Linked DNA regions of Drosophila melanogaster. Changing the gene in region 1 together with any one later gene gives a genetic interaction. Each region holds a gene or a part of one and is shown in the gene's direction. Other genes may lie near its edges.

Region 1 (4,767 bases):
AGTCTTGAGAACTTCAATTCATTTGATACTCCAGTTAACATGCTATTTACATGCTCATTTAAATGGTAGTAGTGATTTATAAGCCCACTTCCAGATGGAACTTACCTATACCAACGTGTTACTTATCGTTCTTAAGCCAACTTAATAGCATTCTAAAATATATATGTATCTTTTGGCGGACTTATCTTCTTGTTGTTCTCGCATTCCAAAATCTCTATGTACATGCAAACTTTTATTGTCATAACTCGGGACTTTGCAGACTTTGAGGCCTATTTAATAGAGCTATAATCTTACAACAAAAAAAAACTAAAAGAGCTTTTTAAGCAATAAAAATATTCTGAAAAATTACAAATTAACAAAAAATTACCCAATGAAGCCTGCAAATTTGAAATCTTTAAGATCCTAGATATGCCAAGATGCACCCTAAAGTCCTTAACTCATCTCCTTGGCTCGTTTCTAATCCCCCCTCTCGAGGGATCGAGACGATCGCATCGGGTCGGTCTTTAAGTTTGGATGATCCATAAACTGTTGGTTTCTCCGTCCTCAGCGTCTAGACTTCATTAGCCGTGTAATGTTGCGGAATTTATGTGGCAGGCACATTAAAATAACACCGATACACACTCTCATGGACGCGAACGTGTGTACAAGTATAGAGATATCGGGCCTAGGCGAAAAATGAAATTAAAAAAAAAAAAAAAACTGGCACCGGGAGGGGCTTATTTTTCGGTGGTCGGGGATGCGGGGGACTTTGACCATAAAATACATGCTCCCAAAAAGCTCGCACACTGCAAGAGATGCGGGGCACTTCTGAGTCCCATATTCATATGCACAAATGTGCATTGCTGGCATTATCAGTAGAATGCAATTTCGGGAAATTTTCCATCGCATCACGAGACAATGAACGTAAGAGAGAAATGGAGCCTCAAAGAGGGAGGGAGAGAGAGAGCTTGAGTGAACGAGCGAGCGACAATCGCGAGATAACGGCTGCCTTATCAGCAATGCCGACCGCCCCATCACCCCACCCAAAACGCCCAACCACCACCCACCGCCGCCGTTCCCTTTCCTCCATCGTCGAGAATTTCGAGTTCAGAGCAGCGCGACCGAAATGAAAAGAAACAATTTAAATTCCAAATGTATAAAATAGGTAAACTATGGCTTTTATTTATTAATATTGACGGGGGCACAAAGGCGGTCACCTCAATAGTGAATAACATGTTTTTTATAATGAATACTTTTCAAATTGTTATTAATATGCAATGACGTCTTAAATGTTTCACTGCAGCTGAACTTTATTCTTTTCATTAAAACAGTCACCCGTTATTAAAAATAAATAGATTAAGTTTTATATTATTAAATTTGTAAGTATTGAAACAATTCCTTTTTTATTTTATACGAATTATCATTTAGTTGGGGTTAATATCCCTTAAAGAGAGAAATTTGTATGCTTTAAGATTTAAAATATCTATTGCATTTATAGCTATAGCTATAACTTCTCTTATTTCACGCAGAAAATACTCAAATAAAACATATCGATTTGGCATACCCCACTAATTTTTTGGCCCCAAGTGTGTGAGAGTGTGTGAGACGAAGCGCGCCACAAACATAAAAAAGCGGTGAAGTGAGCGGTTGTGGAACGTGAGTGGATGCTAAGAGCAAGCTCTCACATACGCGGACATAGGTCGCACACACACACGCACAGACCGCCTTTTTGCGCCGCCGAAACGAACACTTTTACGAAGGCGACGGCGAATCAGTTTCAGTTGTCAGTTCGCATCCAACTAGAAAGCAGTTAACGAGTAGTCTGTGTTTTTTCGCTTGCGGTTAAAAGCCACGAGGTCGTTCATCGTTCATCGTTTTCCTTTTCAACTTCAAGCAAAGCAAATATAAACCAATGCAAAAAACGCAGTGATCTTTTGAGGCCCAAATCGTTTGGGGCCGAACACCGTTGATTCTAAAACGCAAATGTAGAAACAAATCAAGAAAGTGGAAAATAAATATGTTTCGCTTTCAAAACATGTGAATGTGCCGAACTCAAAACTGAAACGTAGAAGGAACGCGTTCGTTTTTTACATACGACAATCGTATAAAATAAGAGAAAAGCTCCAAAACGTATTAAATAGCGATGCTTGGATGATCTTCGTAGCAGTCACGTTGTACATACAAATACATACATATGTACCTACTATATGGCACATAAAATACGTTACGCACACTAGTGGCGAATAAAAAGCGAATTGGAGTAAGCTCCGAAACGTGTTTATATTAAAATTTTTTACCCATTTGAACTTTAAACAACTTTTCGACTGCGCCGCACGGTTTTCATTGAATTCTCATACGAATTCCAATTAAGTGTTGTGTGTGCGTCCAATTGGCATGAATTGATGACGTGACGTGATCGCTCTCTTCGCTCTCTCCCTCTCTTTCTTCGGCACACACACATACACACACTACGCTCTTTAATCGCGCCGCTCTCTTCGCGCTCTTTTTATTTGTTTATTTTGATTGTTGTTATATATATATTCTAATTTACCGTTTTTACAATCGTCTTTAGCTTAAGCAAAACCGCCGCCCAGCAACAACAAGAAACCCATTTAATGAGTGTGTGTGTGTGTGAGCAGAAAATTATGCCAACAGAATTCTAAAAAATATATATGTATATATTTAAATAACCACTAAAAATCAAGAAATCCGCACAAGTTTCGCTCAAAACAACAACACAATCATATATACTACCCATAAAAAAAAAACAAACCCATAAAAAAGTGCAAAGCAACCAGGAAAATAAAGTAAAACAGTGCCAGTTAACAACAGCAAACGGCGATCAACAAATCCCACCGGCAAAATCAACAATTTTTTAAATCGCAATCAACAAGGAGCAACAAATTAGCCAGCTATTTCCCATTGCAAACATTTGGCGGGTAAATATTATTAACAATTACGAGTAGGTGTACTTGATTGAATGAAAAATGTCATGTTTTTTAAGTTCCTAAATTCGATTCGAATCTAATCGGCAATTGATTGAAATATTCTAAAAGTCAAATTTTGTTTCGTCACGCGATTAAAAAAGTAATTGAAGCAGTGCTTTCCTACACATCAATTAAAATTTAAATTAAATGGTATTTTATGTTGATTACAACAACATTTTTTTTAGTCGCCACAATAAAATATTCATTCTTCCGTGAAATATTTCCAATATAAATTGCTATTGCTATATTTATAAAAATAAGCTTTGATAAAAGTTAAGAGGTTTAATAGAAACTAGAGTTAGGTTCTTTTATTTATATTGGTGTTTAGAATTTTAGATAGGAAAGCTGGACTTTTTGTTGTGTTAAAGTAGTCACATCTATTGAATTTACGACCCAAATTTTAATACAACCGATAGGGAATGTGATTTATAACCTTATTCGAGTAATTCCTAGTTTCACTTTCAAGATCAAAACGACTAGAATCATAAAGTCGGTCACGTTCGGCGCTGCAGTGTCGCTCCAATAGATGATCTTTCAGTTCGTGTGGGTTTTGATTAGTCCGTTTTGGTGTGTTACTTGTCATGGGAGTGGGCAGGGGAGATCTTAATTAGAGCAGCGCTGATAATGGCTCTAAAAATAGAGCCCCAGCGCCACACTGATAGCAGAGCTTGAAGCGTGTGTCGTTTGCGTGGAGCTCATTTCTTTCGTTCTGTGTTTGTTTGCTCCCCCGATTTTCGTATGCGATCCACTAAGGTCGATTTTGTTGCCATATTTTGCCAGCGATCTCGTATACGCACCGTTTTCAGATGCTTTTGAATATTCTCTTGACATCAGTATTGACATTGAAATGTGATTAGGTTTAATTTTCATAAATGGGTTGATTCGCCACTCGGTTAGCTGTCGAAAGAGGCTTTTTTATTCCCCATTTACAGATAAGGCTTTTATCTATTCGCAATGTGCCAAGGTACAACAGCAGCTGATGGCCCAAAAAAAGTGTACATATAAGCCTATACACACATCTGTATAGTCGTCCTATGTGCTTGCGATTGTGACTTTTATCATATCTTGAGTGTTTGCTAGCCACATTGGTGGAACGTGCCAGTTGATAACAAGAAAGTGTGCGAAAGTTTGTCTAAAAAGCTGTAATTGAAGCAGGGAAACCGGGAAGTCAATTAATTTTGAGAGACAACATTAAACGTATTCTTCGTATTCTAGTATTCTTCAAGAATTAGTAAAGCTCTTACTAATAAGCTCGTTTGAGAATGACGATAAGTTATATCGATAATGTCGATTTTACCGATAACCGAAAAACGTTAGTAATGGAAATTTAATGATCATTAAATGAGAGCCACTACATATTGTTTTGTTTAGAAAGATATAGTCGGAATACCAGTAGTTATTTCTTAGTATTATTTTGTGATTTTTAAATATTCTACTCAGATGTGTAGAACTTTTTTTCGAACGCTTCTTTTTGCTTAATTTATTTCGTTTTTCGCGCCGACCCCAAAAACGTTAGTAATGCAAATCGATTGCGTTTGCGAAGTCAGATGATCCCATCCATGATTTCCATGCGTCAGTTGTCCCAGCTGTCAATCGAAGATCGCCGTTTGGGGGCTCTACGTTCCTGGTTGACTTCGCCATCGGTCGAGTGGAATCGAATCGTTCGTTTGCTCTTTAATTATTGTAATGAATTCAATAAACATTGCAGGGCCTCTGCCGTTCATTTGCATTTGCGTTCGCACTCGCTGCATTCTGAACTATTGCACATTGCCTGGTCGGGCCTCTCCTTCTCTATATAGCG
Region 2 (4,017 bases), on another chromosome or scaffold:
ATACAGACCCTCCAAGTTCGGCAAATCGATACCCAGCGACCTTGAGCTTGACATTTATATATATGCCAGAATATAACGACCACGTGCTGTCAACTGTGTCAGGAAAAGCTCACCCACACTTTCTTTGGAGGAGCTGTGCTCCCTAAACGAATTTCATTGTCAAGGTCGCACGCACAAAAATGAAGAGGAAAAGCTGAATGTGGGTGGAAATGCCGGCCGGCACGACCTTGAAGCCAGTTGGGTGAGAAATAAAAAGCTTTTGCCGGTAGGAGACTTGTGGAACATCACCCACAAGTGGCGGACTTGGCCTTGGCGATGGCCTTGTTGGAGCTCCCTCAGCAAAAATGTTACATAGGGGGAGGAAATAAGCTCAATTGGCTTTATGCTTTCCGCTCCCTGGAAGTCCTTTTCTGGAATGTTAAAGTGTTAAATGACATTTATTGAACATTTGGGACAGAGGAGGAGATAATACAATATACTTGTCTAATTAAAAAAAATCGTTATTATGATTTATTCCATATGTAAGATTTTAATTCATCATGATTGTAAATAAATTATATAAAACAAATTCAATAAATTTACATTATTGATAAAATTTATTTTTTCATGAAATTATACCCAAAAATTATTCTCAATTTTTCTTATAATCAGTTTTGCATAAGTATACTTTCTTCATACCCCTCTACCACAGCCACTGCTTTCTTGACTTTGCAACTATCCGGGAACAGCTTATCATAATGGATGAGCTGCAGCTAACGGAAAATGGGGGAGCTGGGATCAAACATTTTCCAAGGTTGAAATTGTCGTCAGCATAATGTTTGAGGGAGCTGGATTCGCGTTAGCTTGAAGGTCAATCCATTTGGGTGCCCTTTGTTATGGTCAAGTTTAAGGCTGCAATAGGGGGAATCTTCAAGGACCATTACGCAAGGTTTTCGCATCAAAGATTTGCCGTGCAAGCTTTTTGAGTTGAAGGATGCTTAACTTGAAAGCGGGTTAGTGGTTCCAAGAGATTTTAGGTGAAGGAGACTCCGCTGTTTTGAAATATATTAAGTATGTAAAGAAGTATACTATAAATAACCCAAAGTGATACAATGTAAGAAAAGATCTCGTTGGTCCCTGGTATAAATTTGTTTGCCATTAATGAATATTGAAAATAATAATTATACTAATAATAGGTACAATAAGCAAGATTAAATTGCATTTAATCACCAAAAATCAGTTTCTATGCGAACCAAAATGTCATAACAAACAATTGTTGATTCATCCGTAGTGAAATCCAAGTTCGAAATTCGAAATGAGCATACGACGACCAAACTTCCCCTCAAAATTGCTAGACTCAGCTAGAGCAAGTACGCCCAAGTTAACCCCTGAAATTCGAAATGAATTCGATGCCGCGCTTCGAACAACGAAATCCCAAAGAGCTTACGTTTTATTTGACGTAGCACTCTTACGTGAAATGATTTTCCCCAATTCCGCTCTCATTTCCCGAGTCTCTCACCGCTTCTCAGCCACTTTCCCACCCCCTTTCTAGTTCCGAAGTAAAGGTAACAAAGGCAGCCGTGTCTTTGGGGTGGTAAACTGGCGGTGGTGGTGGCACATTGTCAGTGGTGTGGGTTCCTGTGGTTGGTGGTTCAATTGGTTGGTTGTTGGCATAAACAAAGCACACACACAATACACACAAACTCCCGGGGGGTGGTGGAAATTGGGAGGGTGACATTCACTGCGAGAGAGGAACTCGCTTCCTATAGGAAAGTACAAAGAGAGCTATTTTATAAATGTGACTGCAGCAAGGATATTTACAGTCAGTCCACTCTGAAACCTCGACGAGAGAACATTGAATAACAAGCGGAAGCGAAAAGCGCAGTTGAAAGTTCGTCAAAAAGCGACAAGTTTCCTCGTTCGTTTTCCCGCCAAATGAGTCAGAAAAATTTTCCAAGTGCTCGATACGAAACATAAAGACTTACAAGACTTAAAGTGCAAGCAGTGAATGGAATATATTATTCCTCAGCGATATTGAAATCAAACATTAAAAATATATGCTACACTAAAGTTATATATTTTTTTAAAGATTCATACGTTTTGTAAAATCACATTTTGTATTAAATTAAATACCGCCATGGCCATCGCCTATTTCATACCCGACCAGGCCCAATTGTTGGCCAGAAGCTATCAGCAAAACGGCCAGCAGACAGCAGCGAGTCCAAGGACAACTGCAACAGCTGCTGCACCATCGCAGCAGCAGCAACAATCGCAACAACAGCAGCAGCAGCAGCGACATCATCATCAGCAACAGCGCCCACAATTCCGTGCCAATATTTCCGTGCCGCTGGGAAGTCAACAGGGATCGATGACCATGTCGGAGTTTGGATGCTGGGATCTTTTGGCCCAGATCTTCTGCTACGCTCTGCGAATCTACAGCTACAGTTCGAGCCAGCGTCAACCGACGGTCATTCAGATATCCTTCGAGATCAGCAGCGGCGGTCAGAACAACGATGAGGACGACGTGACTGATGCCACCTCCAAGGAGAACTAAATTTGGTTTCCATATTTCATCCTGGTGGAGAGAAAATCTTTGGGATTTTCTGGGAAAGGCAGGCTCAATCAAAGCGCATTGTGATTTCTTTTTTGGGTATGGACACATGAGGAGGAACGAGTTTTGTAAAACATGGGATATTTCCACAACAAAATAAGAAAACTATTTTTAAACTATTTTTGAGAGAGAGAAAATTCAAAATTTGTCATCGACTTGCTTAAAGTGATTTTGGTTGTTTGTTACTTTTTTGGATGTCAAATTTTCCGATATAAGTTTTGAAAAAATGTTTAATTTTGCAAGCAAAGGTTTCCCGGTTGGTTCAAATACATAAACATACTTAACAACATTTAGAGAGCATAAAGAGAAATGTGTAAAATTGTCATAAACCTTATTAGTGTCTATACGTATGAGCAAAACCACAAGTATCGTACTCAACTAACAAATAATTGTCAAATTTTCTACTTCAACTACTTCAACTACATTTCAACTACTTACAAATATAAATCGTAAACTAATATTACAGAACTACAATACAGAACCAACAACAAAACAAAGATGCAACCGCAGCAACAAGAATAACAAAAGACAACAACTCAATTGTACAAAATAGATTTTAAGCAAACAGCAAATTTTATATGTTTACAACAAAGAGAGAAAATACAAAACGTCTACAAAAAATAGAATACAAGAACCGCCGAACAGAATACATTTTAACAAAAATTAAACAAAACAACAACAAACATTTAAGCAATTTTGATACGAATAATCAAGAATAACAAAATTTGAAATGTATCTTATCATTATTATTGATTTTAGCAAAATTCAAAACATATTATTTTAATTTTGGCATTGCAAATTAAACAAGAAATATTGAAATTAATCACATGTAAAGATAGCATTTGTAAGAAATTAAAATTTTTATAAGACAAACAAGCAAAAAATAAATACAATTTTATAAAAAATTAAAAAATACTTTGAACGATTATTATTGTCCCTTTTCAGAAAAACATAAAGAATTTTACCAACACCATTGCCGAGATATATATATTTAATTACCTTTTATTTCGGAGGTGTAGAACTCTATTAAAATGTTTTTGAAAAATTATTCGAAGCGTTTTTAAAATATTTTAAAAATAAACTAAAACGTTTTTAAAATAAATTCAAAAGAATATTTATTTGTTTCACCAAAGTTTTTATAAAAAAATACGTCAAAATAATATGAAATTTTGTTTAATACACTCTTTTAATAACCGCTTATGAATTAAGCCTTTGTATTCCATTTTGGGCAATGAAATGGCAAAGGATAACCGTCCTGCCAGGAAAAGGCGGAGTAAGCAAACATTTAGCGATCGCTATCGTCAAAACCAATATGTCACCTTAAAAGGGAAAACACATTTTTGGTTAAGGGCAGACAGAGAATTTTCCCGTCGTGTCATGCCAGGCACACTCCACCCAAAAGGGTTAAAAAGCAAAGGTGACGCTTA
Region 3 (6,995 bases), on another chromosome or scaffold:
TAAATAATAACTTAAGCGCGACCGTAAAACGCAGACTCAAACATTTAAAATCGTAGCATTCGATCGTTTTCGATCGTCCAACAGATTCCCTCATTCCCCCACATCAACAACAACAACAGAATGATAAAAAAAAAAGAAAAAACAAAAAACTGATAGTCGTCGTCTCTTCATTATTTATTTAACGAATACCCATTAACATGACAATTGCAAGCACGTAAAATTTAAGTTATAACGTAGAAAACTAGTAAGAAAAATACGCTAAGACTCGAACAACGTCAAACCAAAATCTAGAAGTACGCAATTTTAATAAAGGAAATGCGGAACAGTTTCTCGTATACATAAAAGCTTTCGCAAAATAATTGGTCTAAAACATTAAAGAATTTTGAGAACTCGGAATTGTGTAGGTGTTCATTTTTACAGAACCTCTTATAACCATCGTAATAAACCCTACGAAATGAAGCAGTCAGCAGTCCGAAACTGGTAAGAAAGCGTTTTCGAAAATCTGCTTTGTTTTCTGAATCTCGAAAACCTAAAAAGCAATAACCGCCAAGTGTTTACAAACAAATCATTGACTTTACGTTTTGGTAAGAAATATTGCATGTGTACTATCCATCGATCTAACTTTTTACCTATTAAGACAAATACTATACAAATCTATAACTTATTGTAGTTGGGTCGAAACGGCAAAAATCTAGCCAATGCTGCAAGCAACTATATTAAGCGCATCGGTTTTAATGTTTATGTTTTATTTCATTTAACTAAATTAACAGGTCATTTGTTGGAGTATCTCTTAACGTCACTTTCAGATTTATTAGATTGCTTAAAGTTCAAAACATAGCTAAGCAATACTTATGATAACGACGATTAGTTAGTTAGCCCAAGGGGCTATTAAATATTTAAACGATGGACTGCAGAAACTTTTTAAACAAATAAAAAGCGAGACAAATAAATGAGAAATTGGTTAACACGGCAAAACACTTGTTTTTATTTCTTCGTCTTCGAGTCCTTTTTGCTTCAATAACATTTACTGATGATTGGCCTATTTTGATTTATTCAAGTTACGAATTAAAGTCAACAGTTGAGAATTAAGTGGTACCAAGAATTCATTTTGCGGAAACCAACTAGCCTTAAGATACGAGTGTAATTTTTAAAGTTTTGAAAATTTTTTAAAATTTTAAATTATTCAGATAGCAGGTTTTGCTTTTGAATAAAGGAACTTTAAATTCCAATCATATTTATGTCAAAATAATCGAATACCCATAAAAAACCTGTTGCACTTTTATCGATTGTAAATAAAAAAAGAGAGGATTACATTAATGGTATTACCCAAACTGATAGTTTTCAATAGCATTTCAATGGCTGGAAAAAAAAATAAATAAAAGGTATTCGTAAATCTTAAAAATGTTTGCGTTTTAAAAAATTGCATACCAAAAATAATATTGGTTTTGCAAGAAATGGAATTTTTAATAGCTGTAGCAATATTAGTTTCGTGGGTAGAACTCGAGTAAAAGATGTGTTGGTAGTCATGTTTTTGGTAGCATGAAGTTATATGTGTGTTGTTTAATAAGATTAAAATAAATGCATAGATAATTACATATTGTTTAAAACCGCAGTGCTAAAAAATAAATGGTTGTATCGATGACCCATCGATAGTTTTTGCATACACAATTTAATCGAGAGGGCACCACGCACGTCGATAGCACTGGATGTACATTTTCTCAAATCTTGTGGTGGTATCGCTCGCCGTAAACACCCTGTGGATCTCACGCTTGATAAATTAATAATACATTTAATAGAGCATGAGCGCTACTGTTTAACTTTTACACATAATTGAAAAGTTTTATTTGAAATTTCGTGGCTTAGAGCAAAACATGTGATAGCTTTTTGAAATGCAGTAGCCAGAACCTGCTCGGTTGGAACATTTAGCTTATTGACTTAAACATACCCATATGCACATACATACATATGTATTAAACAGTGGGCACATATATTCGTGTGGTGCTGATAGTGTAAATGTGTAAAATGTCTGTGGAATTGTAAATATGTTTTTGTTTAAACAAATATGTACATAAATGCACAAAAATCGGTGCATATATGTGCACATGCCCATCATCCATATCTGCATATTTCTGTACATGCATATGTGCTCTAACTACAATACATACCACCATTCGCAAACAGTTTGTCAAAAAAGTGTGTCTACTCGGCGAGATAAAACAAAAAACAGTTGCCAAATCAGTCGCTATGTTAAGTAATTCGAAATTACTGCTCGGTGTTTCTAAAACGGATTTTGATTTTGATTTTCACCCCTCGAAAATCGCCCCCTCAGCCAACGAACCCATTTAATTGCTCGAATTCGTATCGAAATCGCCGTGCGTTGGGCTTCAATAAAAGAACTCTGTTCTGTTAGCCAGTTACAATTAAAACCAGGACCATTTGACAACCAATCTGAATGTATTATGCCAAGCGGAAGATTGTTATATTGTTTATCTTTGATAATATGCCGATACATGTAAGTATGTTTCACGTGTGTGCCGCAAATGCCTGCCTGTGTGTGTGTGTGTGTGTATGTACATATGTGCGTGTGCATGTGCGAGTGTGTGTGAGTGTGTGCATGTTTGTGCTAAGGATATTTGTGGATATATAAACCGAACTGAAGTTAACTCTTTACCTGTTCCTGGGAAAACAAGTAGGGAACTATTCCTATAGAGAGTGCACCTCTGTCTGTATGTGTATGTACGTGCTTAAATATGTATCCAAGCAAGAACTGCAAACAGGAATATATCTTAGCCGAGTAAGAAGTATTAGTTTATATAGAACAACCTAAGTGGATCGGGAGAAAACAAGCCCATTATATTAGTTCCATATATCCCTTTAGAATGCCTTGGCACAGTATAATTAAGCAGTTTCTATTGACCATATTAGAAACTTGTCTGCTGTTAAAGGATTTAGGTTTGAATTCGCAGTAGAAAACTAAGCTGAATTGAGTCAATACTTTTCTAACTTGCTGTGGAAAATAAACAGATTAGTTAGAATCATATGCATATTAATTAATATGCTTTACATTCCTTTCAGAACGTACACTTTGCAATGGAGTAAATAGAAGACAAGCACTGGTTCCCAAATACATTTGAATGGATGCAGCTAATCTAATTTAAATAAAAAAGACAAGTCTTTAAACCTTAAAAATATGGCCAACACTATTTCGTTAATGTCCAACGTGATACGCAATGTAGTGAGTAAAAAACGTATACGATACAAAGAAAAAGGATACGATTTGGATTTAACATGTAAGTTATTGAATCAACCGCAATCATTGGAATATTAAATTAAATTATCTATTTACCCACAGACATTAATGATAACATAATTGCCATGGGCTATCCAGCACCGGATAAACTAGAGGGCCTATTCAGAAACCGTCTGGAAGATGTCTTTAAGCTATTGGAAGAGAATCATGCCCAGCATTACAAAATCTATAACCTATGCTCGGAGCGTAGTTACGACGTTGCTAAATTTCGCGGGGTAATTTTGTTGAACTTTTTCTATTTGTCGGCGTAAAATATGTAAAATATACTATTTCGCATTACAGAGAGTAGCTGTTTATCCGTTCGATGATCATAACCCTCCAACGATTGAGTTAATACAACGATTTTGCAGTGATGTTGATATGTGGCTCAAGGAAGATTCGTCCAATGTTGTAGCCGTGCACTGTAAAGCTGGAAAGGGCAGAACCGGTAGGAAATGTGTTCAACATTTTGTGCGAAAGTTCATAAATATCATGGCACACTATGATCTTGTTTCGATATTTGTAGGGCTAAAAAACTAACCCAGTTTTTTTTCATTTCAGGTACCATGATCTGCGCATATTTAGTGTTCAGTGGAATTAAAAAATCCGCCGACGAGGCATTAGCGTGGTATGATGAGAAGCGTACAAAGGACCGAAAAGGTGTGACAATCCCATCTCAGCGTCGATATGTTCAGTATTTTTCCAAACTAGTTTGTTCAAGTGTTCCATATTCGAAAGTAAGCCTTAACGTGAGTATTTCCAGCAGCAGCGCCACATTCAGCGCCGTACAAAATCTAAATATGCATTTTTTGTATCTCAGGTATGTGAAATACGCTTCTCGGAGTCCAGTTGTGTGCAAAACTTAGGCATGGTAGAATGTTCAATATCTGTATTACACGACTCAGCCACAGAAAATGCAAAGCCAGATGTAAGTATATAAAGTATATAGATACATCATTGATAGACTATAGACAGCATTTTAAAAATGTATATTTCACACGATTTCAGTGCAGTAAAGTGTTCCTTTTCGAATACCTTTCTAACCAGCAGTAACATTCTTCTTTTTTTTATAATTGCAGAGACTGAAAACCTTGCCGATTGATTTTCAAAAATCATTTGTTTTGACCATTAAACCATCAATACCAGTTTCCGGCGATGTAAAATTTGAACTCACAAAAAAATCCCCAGATAAAATCATTTGTCACTTTTGGCTAAATACGTTTTTTGTACGAAACTATTCACGTAAGTATACTTAATATCGCACATGCATTAAATAAACGATTTAATTAAACATTCTCTTTAGCTTGCGAGTCCGATGGAACAGTTAACAAATATATACACACTTTAAGCAAATCAGAAATCGATGATGTACATAAAGACAGTGAACATAAAAGATTTTCAGAAGAATTCAAGGTAGGATATTTCGAAGCATTTTAATAGATGCTGCGAAATTACCAAATAAATGTGCTTGCTCTCTTTTCAGATTTCAATCGTTTTTGAGGCAGAGAATTTTAGCAATGATGTTCAAGCTGAAGCGTCCGAAAAAGAGAGAAACGAAAATGTTTTAAATTTCGAAAGATCAGACTATGACAGTTTGTCTCCAAACTGCTATGCCGAAAAAAAAGTCTTAACTGCGATCGTCAATGATAATACAACGAAAAGTCAAACAATAGAAACGTTGGATCATAAGGATATAGTTGTAAGTGAAAACACGTTTTGCGCCGATCAATATGCTTAATCTATAAATCTAATATTCGTAGACTAAAATTCAATACGACACATCAACCAATTCAAAAAATACTTCGACTGCGTGCAAACGCAAACAGCCTAATAGCAAAACTCTTTTACCAAGCTTGAATGATTCCACAAAAGAGGAAATAAAACGAAATCATATATTTAATCAACCGTCCATTAAGAAAACTGATTTAATCAAATGGCAGAATAGTGAAGTTCATATCACCTCTGACACTCGAAGTATAAACGAAAATAAGAACATCAATTACAATTCATACATCACATGTAAACAATCCTCTCCAAAATTCAACTGTGGTACCGAAGATGGCGAGGAAGATTGGGAATCCGGTGAGTTTGCTGCACACTATACTCTCAATGACCAGATCTCACTAAAAATCTATCCGTTTTAATCGAGTAATACCGAACAATTGTTCTAATTTCACATTTATTTAATACTAAGAGTTTCGATTCAATTGATTTCTGGACCATTATCGGTTTGATTTTGTAATTAATTGTATTGTATGAGTATTCAAATTAAGATTTGTTAAAAGAGATAGCCTTTATCGACATATGCTATCGTCCACACATTTATATTCTTATTGACTTATTGAATTCGCCAGAATAATCACCCGAGACGATTTAAAAGACTTCTGGCTGAACGATCTCTTAATTTTGATGTATAAAACGAAGCCACCAGAACTGGATTTATATGTCCCCAAGACTTTTACGAGTATACTAGCAGAGACAGGCTTACACAGATCCACTTCCTTTCACGGGGAAACGATCGATTACAGCTGCGCTCTGCACATCTGTTTAGAATTTAATGTACATAGGTGAGTGAGTGGGAGCCCATGCCTGCGGCTCGAATGGTCAACTAACCGGCAATCCTTAATCAGTATCCGCATCGATTTTCATCACACATCCCTCACCGCTTCATAAGTATGTGACTCTGGGCACTGCCATTGTCCTTCTACTCAATTCATTTAACAAAACTAGCACCGAACTGTCGAACTTCGACTAATTCGACTATTTCACTGTTGCTGTTGAAAACTAAATATCCTGAAGCAGAATGTGTCTTTTGTGTGTTTCATCATCATCAAAAGTCTTCTGCTTTTAATTCATTCATGCTATTTTGATTTTTATCGTATTCTCGTTGAGTTTTAGTTAATAAATTCATTAAGCTTGTTTGAGCAAAAAAATCTAAACTAATAAATGAATATTTTTCTTTATTTCCAGGTGAATCAACATACCTGTAATCAATGCTTATTACGGACTTATAATTCTTGGTGATTTAGCAAAGTAATTAAAATTGCTAAGTAATTGGCTAATCTATTCGAATTTGTAAATATACTGTATGATATTTATTTAAGTAGTTTTAACAATTATTTTAAATAAACTCATGTACATTTTGTATTGTAGATTTCATTCGAACTTTGGGTTTTTGTCTAAAGTAAGGGGGGAGAAATAATTGACGTTTAGAAAAAAATACTTAAATTTATAGTTTTGATCTCGAAACTAGTTTTCGACACGAAAAGTGCAGCGATTAAATGGATATCTCATATTTTATTGGAATTTAACTAATAGTTTCAAATGAGGCAATAGCTAAGATAAATAAATAATAAGAGGTTCTTGAAATTTGCCAATTGTTGTGCAAAGCATACAGGATTCACAAAGGTAATTATCAGATTAATAATAAATATTCAAAGTATGATTATTCCAGTTTCTACGTTAAGTGCTACCAGTTATTTTTCTTACTCTTTTTCCCATAATTCCCCTAACATATGTTCCACTTCCGAGTTCCAATAAACCCAACACAAAAATGTTGTCCAAATTGACGCTATCTTGACGGGCATATATTATTGTGTTAAATTGACGTAAACTGGGCGGTCAGAATTTCGCATCTTAACGTCGACATCTAATTTTAAAAATGACTAATTATTCGGAAATTTTTAAGAAAGTTTTTAACGATATT
Region 4 (5,037 bases), 7.6 Mb from region 1:
GTGTACAATTTTAAGCGTAAAAATATATACATTTAAATTTATAACCCAAACTAATTTAAGCGAAACAAAACGAAAACACAAAATCTACTTTACAAAAACTCAGCCTCACGAGAGAAATAGGGAGAAGTCGTAGCAAGAAGAGCCACATTTTATAAGCAAATTTTAATTTTAGCCTTTAAAAGAAAGCAAAAAGAATCAGGAATACTATTTAAACGATTGGATAACACACAAAAAATGCGAATACTTCCCTCTTATCAAACAACTTTTTGGGCTAGAACTGTCTGTAAATTAGTAAAAATAATACCAACACACACACACACACACACACTTATATAATTTTAAATTATAAAACAAAATAGTTGTAAAGCCAATCAACATTAAACAATAAAAAGAAAATCAATTTCAAATTGTAAAATATATCGAAGACATTTCAAATTAATATGGAGCAGTAGTAGAAGAGGAAGAGAACACTCCTGGGCCCCCAACAAGATGGCTTTGGTTCCTGTTTTAGTGACGCATGCAACAGAATCCTCTTCTCTTCATTTGCTTGGATTTATCGATTGATTTTTAATTATAATATTATTAAAGCTATAACTATGTATCATAATTTGTTATTGTTATAAAATTTAAACTGTAAACACACACATGGGCCCAATAGCAGTTTATTCATAGAAGCCAAATCATCCCACAAAACAAACAACCAACCACTTAACAGAGTCAACTACAAGTACATAAATAATTATTTAAACTCTCTCCTAGTAGTTATATATTTAACTAAACGATAGATAAAAGCAACAAACAAATGCAAATCATACAATTGTAAAAAAAAATCAATAAATAAACGAAGGAGAACCGCAACAAGCCGAAACCACTGTATAATTGTACGTTTAATTTTTATAAGAGAAAACACACTTGTTAGGTACTTTTCTTTCTTTCCAAAAACAAACACATGAAAAAAAGAGAAAATAAATATTACAAAAACGAAGGAAACTTTAAAATAAACAAAATAAATTTTTAAAACCGAATGTCTACTGTTTCAATTAAACTGAATATTTAAGTTTTTCAAGCCGAATTTAAATAAGGTGAAGTTTGCCATGGTCACAAGAAGTGTTTTTTGCTAACTTCTTTTTTAACTAAGCAATTTTGAATCATCATTTGAATGTTTTTGGTAAATATTATTTTTTATATTAATTATTTTTAATAAAGTATAAAGACTGTACTGTTTTATGCATCTTTTCAAAGATTTTTTTAAACACCAAGTTGAATTTTAAATATGTGATCCATTCCTTGGATTTTGATCATTTTACCCATGAGTAGTTAGCAGACTTGTCTGCATGTTTTAAAACGCCCGCCAACTGGGAAAGCAGTGCATTTTAATGCGCCCGCCAACTCGGAAAGCAGTAAAACGTAGCACTGCTTGCAATTTACGATATTCAAGTATGGCGCACTATCTTTAAACTTGAAACTTGCGTTTCTAAAAGCCAAACCCCAAAAAGCAGATCCTAGCGAAATATTTAAAATTGGTTTAAATTGGTTTTACAGCAGCTCCTAGTATTTGTAGTTAGTTAGTATTTATCACCTAGGCGGGGAGTTCAAGGAAATGATTATGCTTGATTGCATGGAAAGTAGATGCTCTTGGACAATGATTACATAAAAATATTTCCTATGTCATTAAGAAATCGACACAATAATAGCGCCATTATTTTATTATATTTTCTAAATTTTTCGAAAAAAAAGTGATCCAGAATGTAATATTTGCTAATGACATTATGCTCATATAAAAGTTTTTACAAATGGAATATCCGTTTTTAGTGCGCGAGGATTCAGTATTGGGCTTCATGGCGTGTTGGTAAACGAAGAGCTCTGCTATAGGTGGCGCGCTAGTGTAACAGCCGGCACTAACAGAGTTCTGTAAGCGGTCAAAAGACAGAGTTCGAAAACGACCGAACAGAGTTGGAAAACGCGCTAAACCGAAAATCGCGTATACAACAAGGGTAACGGCTGGCAGTGTTTCACGCGATTTCGAAACGTTGAGATCGTTGCCGCGGTCGCCGTGAATTGGAATTGTGAGTGTGTTCGTCGTGCGGAAAATCATCGCTGTCAAATAGAGGCCACAGTGAATTGCCGATACCTAATACTGTGCAAGGCGAAATTATGTGCCCCAGCATTTCGTGAATGAAAAGTGCGAAAATACAAAATACAGAGCAATAGTGCGAGGTCGGTGGAGTTCGAATTAAAGAAATTCCACGAAATACAAGTGCGGGCGATTCTCGTGTGCTGGCGAGAGTGCGGCTTGTCCGGGTGTGTGAGTAAAATTCACGGTAAATAAATAAATAAAATTTGTGTACACACACATACACACACACACGCGCGCTCTCCTATTATTTATATATACACAGCATGTTGTGAAGTTGCGGCGCAAAAAGAAAGCACGCGAATAAAACATAAGAAAATTTAATTACGCCTGCGTCTGGGAAAGTGCGTCGTTCTATTTTGAAATCGATACCAAAATAAAATACAAATAGAAATAAAAATCAAAAATTAGGTGACACAACAACAACTAGATCAACAATGCACGACAACAAAACCGTTGCAAAGGGGTATGTAACAAAAACAACAAATAATAATAAAATGAATAATAGTAGTGAGAACGTAACTAGGAAAATACTCGTGAAATTACTACGCAGCAGCAATTTATGCCAAGTTGTTTTTGCTCTCCTCCTCCTCCTCTCTCCGCCCGGTTCCTCTTGTTCCTTTTGTTGTTGTTCCATATCTATCATATCTTGGGCTGTTGTTGTTCTTCTTCTTCGCACACCGCTTTACGTCTCCGTTTTGTGAATGAGCGGCGCAGCCAACATTGTTCTCTTTTTCTCTCTCTCTCTGTCTCTCTGTCGTGCGGAGAGCGGCTGCGCGAAGAGAGGCGGAAAAGAAATGAAAGAATTTCGATTGCTGCCGGTTTTTGTTTTATTATTGTTGTTGTTGTTGTGCTGGTTTATTTTTTATTGTTGCACGCATTTTGAAAAGTGGTACAGATAAGTTTTCCATTGCATTAAATTAAGCCAGCACTAAAAGAGTAACTAACATTATTATTAAAAATAGTATTTCATGAAATTACTTAGTACTATTGCTAAAGACTGTCTCCTTATTGTCCTTGGTAAGTTTTAAAATTAATCATACAAGCGTCAATAAGAGCTATTCAATAGAATTTTATTAAATATTTATAGAATTAGTATAAATTATTAAAAAAAACAAAACAATAAACTTCAAAGAAGTGTCTTAGTCGACTTCCATTAAACACCCATACATTTTTCCTTAAAAGGCGCTTTAATATGTATGTTGCTCTCACCCCCTCTTCAGGACCACCTGCAAAACTCAATTTTTTATTTAATATTTCAAAAATAAAATTGAACTCACCTGTTGACTTGTCATGATTTTCAAACCTTTATAATTCTAAAGTTATACTTTGGAAAATGTGTTGTTTTTTAATGTATGGTGGACACCACACTTTCAGCGGTTGTCAAAAAGTCATGACAGTGCTGTTTTTTATTTTATTTTGGAGCTCGTAATTAGAGTGACCAAAATGCTGAGTAAACCAGCCAAATATATCCAGTACAATTTTAAAGCTCTCACTTGCTAAAACAAATCCCAAAAAGTTGATCAAACTATTTGCTCAAACTGTGACCTTATAAATCGGGTTTCTTTTTATCTTTAAGGTATATGTATAAGATATCCATTAAATTTAGTTTAATGGAGACTTTGTAAAAACGTTTGGAGCTTCTACAATGTTTTCATTTTATAAACATTAATTATTTAATGCCAACTTAAGCAGGTTGAGACTTTAATGACTTAAGTTGACATTAAAAGTGGGATATCCCTTTAAAAGAACGAGATAAAGATACACCCACGATTTACGGGCTTTTGATTTTGTGTTGTATCCGCAACGGAAGCAGATCAATAGATCGGGGGTCTGTGGGTGTACTGAAATAGTGATAAATGGGAAGATATTTCCCAAATAACTGGCGTGGAGATATTACGGGTAAGTGGTTTTGTGGGCGGGAAGGTGGAAAATGGGGAAATGTGGGGATGGGTCCGCTTGCTAATTAAAAAGCATAAGCACTAATTGGCGTGCCGCTGCGCTTGTTGTTGCTATTTGCGTTGCCGTTGAACTGCCCACTTGCTGTGCTCTTATTATATTCGCGTTATTATTGTATAATAAGAGAGAAATGCCATAAAAAATTGGGAGGTTGGGTTAAAACAACAGGCAAAACCGAAGTAGAAAAAAAAAACACCAGAGAATTGCGCATTTTTGTATTAATCATGCTATATTTTTGACGAGGCCCGAAGAATGTTGGCCAATGTATTTGTATTTGTGCGTAATTTATTTATTTTTAAATCGAGTTTGCCTGCCTGCTCTCTGTGCATTTGTGTGTGTGTGTGTGTGTGTGCGAGCATAAGTGCGAGTGTGTGTGCGTGCTGCGACAAAAATAAGTCGCCGCAATAACAAATTGCTGAAATAGAACCAAAATAAAGCAGAAGAACAGAAGAGATCTATAGAGGATGAGGCAATGACGGAACCCGGGCCAAGTTTGTTGTTGTTGCGCCTGCTTTTGTTTCTCTGTATTTTTATTATTTTATTTTTGTGCATGTTATTTCTGATATTGGCTTTTTAATGGTGTGGCTAAAAACCGGAAATTGTTTGTCCGGCTATTGTTGATGACGTATGACCATCGAGTTGTTGGCGGCTTTGGCGCATAATTTGGCCACACTAATTAACAGTGCCGAAACGAACAACAAAAACACACATGCCGCCACCAACACGAATGCCTTTTAAAGCGAGAAAAAACAAAAAAAATGCTCTGACCACATGTCTAAACGTAGCTGCGCGCAGGCCAGAAAGAGAGGGCACGATTGCCGAAAGAGAGTGGCCGGTGATAAGCCTGTATGTGTGTGTGTGTGAGCCGAGCGAGACAAACAGACAGGTGTCATTGACCTTTTTCGCTGCGAAACAGCACACACACACACACATTCACACAGCCA

What was found.
Region 2: of foxo (region 1) and grim, changing one enhances a phenotype caused by changing the other (phenotypic enhancement), as found in Drosophila melanogaster (one study listed by BioGRID).
Region 3: of foxo (region 1) and Pten, changing one suppresses a phenotype caused by changing the other (phenotypic suppression), as found in Drosophila melanogaster (2 studies listed by BioGRID).
Region 4: of foxo (region 1) and InR, changing one suppresses a phenotype caused by changing the other (phenotypic suppression), as found in Drosophila melanogaster (4 studies listed by BioGRID).

What each region holds. Positions count from the first base shown.
Region 1 is NT_033777.3:14,055,190-14,059,956, forward strand, and holds the start of foxo (forkhead box, sub-group O), read left to right. Parts: upstream 1-1,755; 5' UTR 1,756-1,835; exon of another isoform or gene 1,836-2,239; intron 2,240-2,551; 5' UTR 2,552-2,918; intron 2,919-4,767. UniProt on the Drosophila melanogaster protein: Transcription factor involved in the regulation of the insulin signaling pathway. Consistently activates both the downstream target Thor\d4EBP and the feedback control target InR.
Region 2 is NT_037436.4:18,302,199-18,306,215, reverse strand, and holds grim (grim), read left to right. Parts: upstream 1-1,798; 5' UTR 1,799-2,116; coding exon 2,117-2,533; 3' UTR 2,534-3,497; downstream 3,498-4,017. UniProt on the Drosophila melanogaster protein: Activator of apoptosis, independent of rpr and hid, that acts on the effector Dredd.
Region 3 is NT_033779.5:10,255,771-10,262,765, reverse strand, and holds Pten (phosphatase and tensin homolog), read left to right. Parts: upstream 1-1,716; 5' UTR 1,717-1,912; exon of another isoform or gene 1,913-2,181; 5' UTR 2,182-2,512; intron 2,513-2,778; exon of another isoform or gene 2,779-3,075; 5' UTR 3,076-3,190; coding exon 3,191-3,290; intron 3,291-3,352; coding exon 3,353-3,525; intron 3,526-3,592; coding exon 3,593-3,737; intron 3,738-3,850; coding exon 3,851-4,038; intron 4,039-4,109; coding exon 4,110-4,217; intron 4,218-4,368; coding exon 4,369-4,531; intron 4,532-4,592; coding exon 4,593-4,702; intron 4,703-4,772; coding exon 4,773-4,988; intron 4,989-5,049; coding exon 5,050-5,371; intron 5,372-5,643; coding exon of another isoform or gene 5,644-5,648; exon of another isoform or gene 5,649-5,856; intron 5,857-6,259; coding exon 6,260-6,279; coding exon of another isoform or gene 6,280-6,313; 3' UTR 6,314-6,447; downstream 6,448-6,995. Other genes in the region: CG5676 (uncharacterized protein), read left to right, coding at 6,951-6,995.
Region 4 is NT_033777.3:21,616,290-21,621,326, reverse strand, and holds the start of InR (Insulin-like receptor), read left to right. Parts: upstream 1-2,005; 5' UTR 2,006-2,305; exon of another isoform or gene 2,306-2,600; intron 2,601-5,037. UniProt on the Drosophila melanogaster protein: Has a ligand-stimulated tyrosine-protein kinase activity. Binds 3 insulin-like peptide ligands.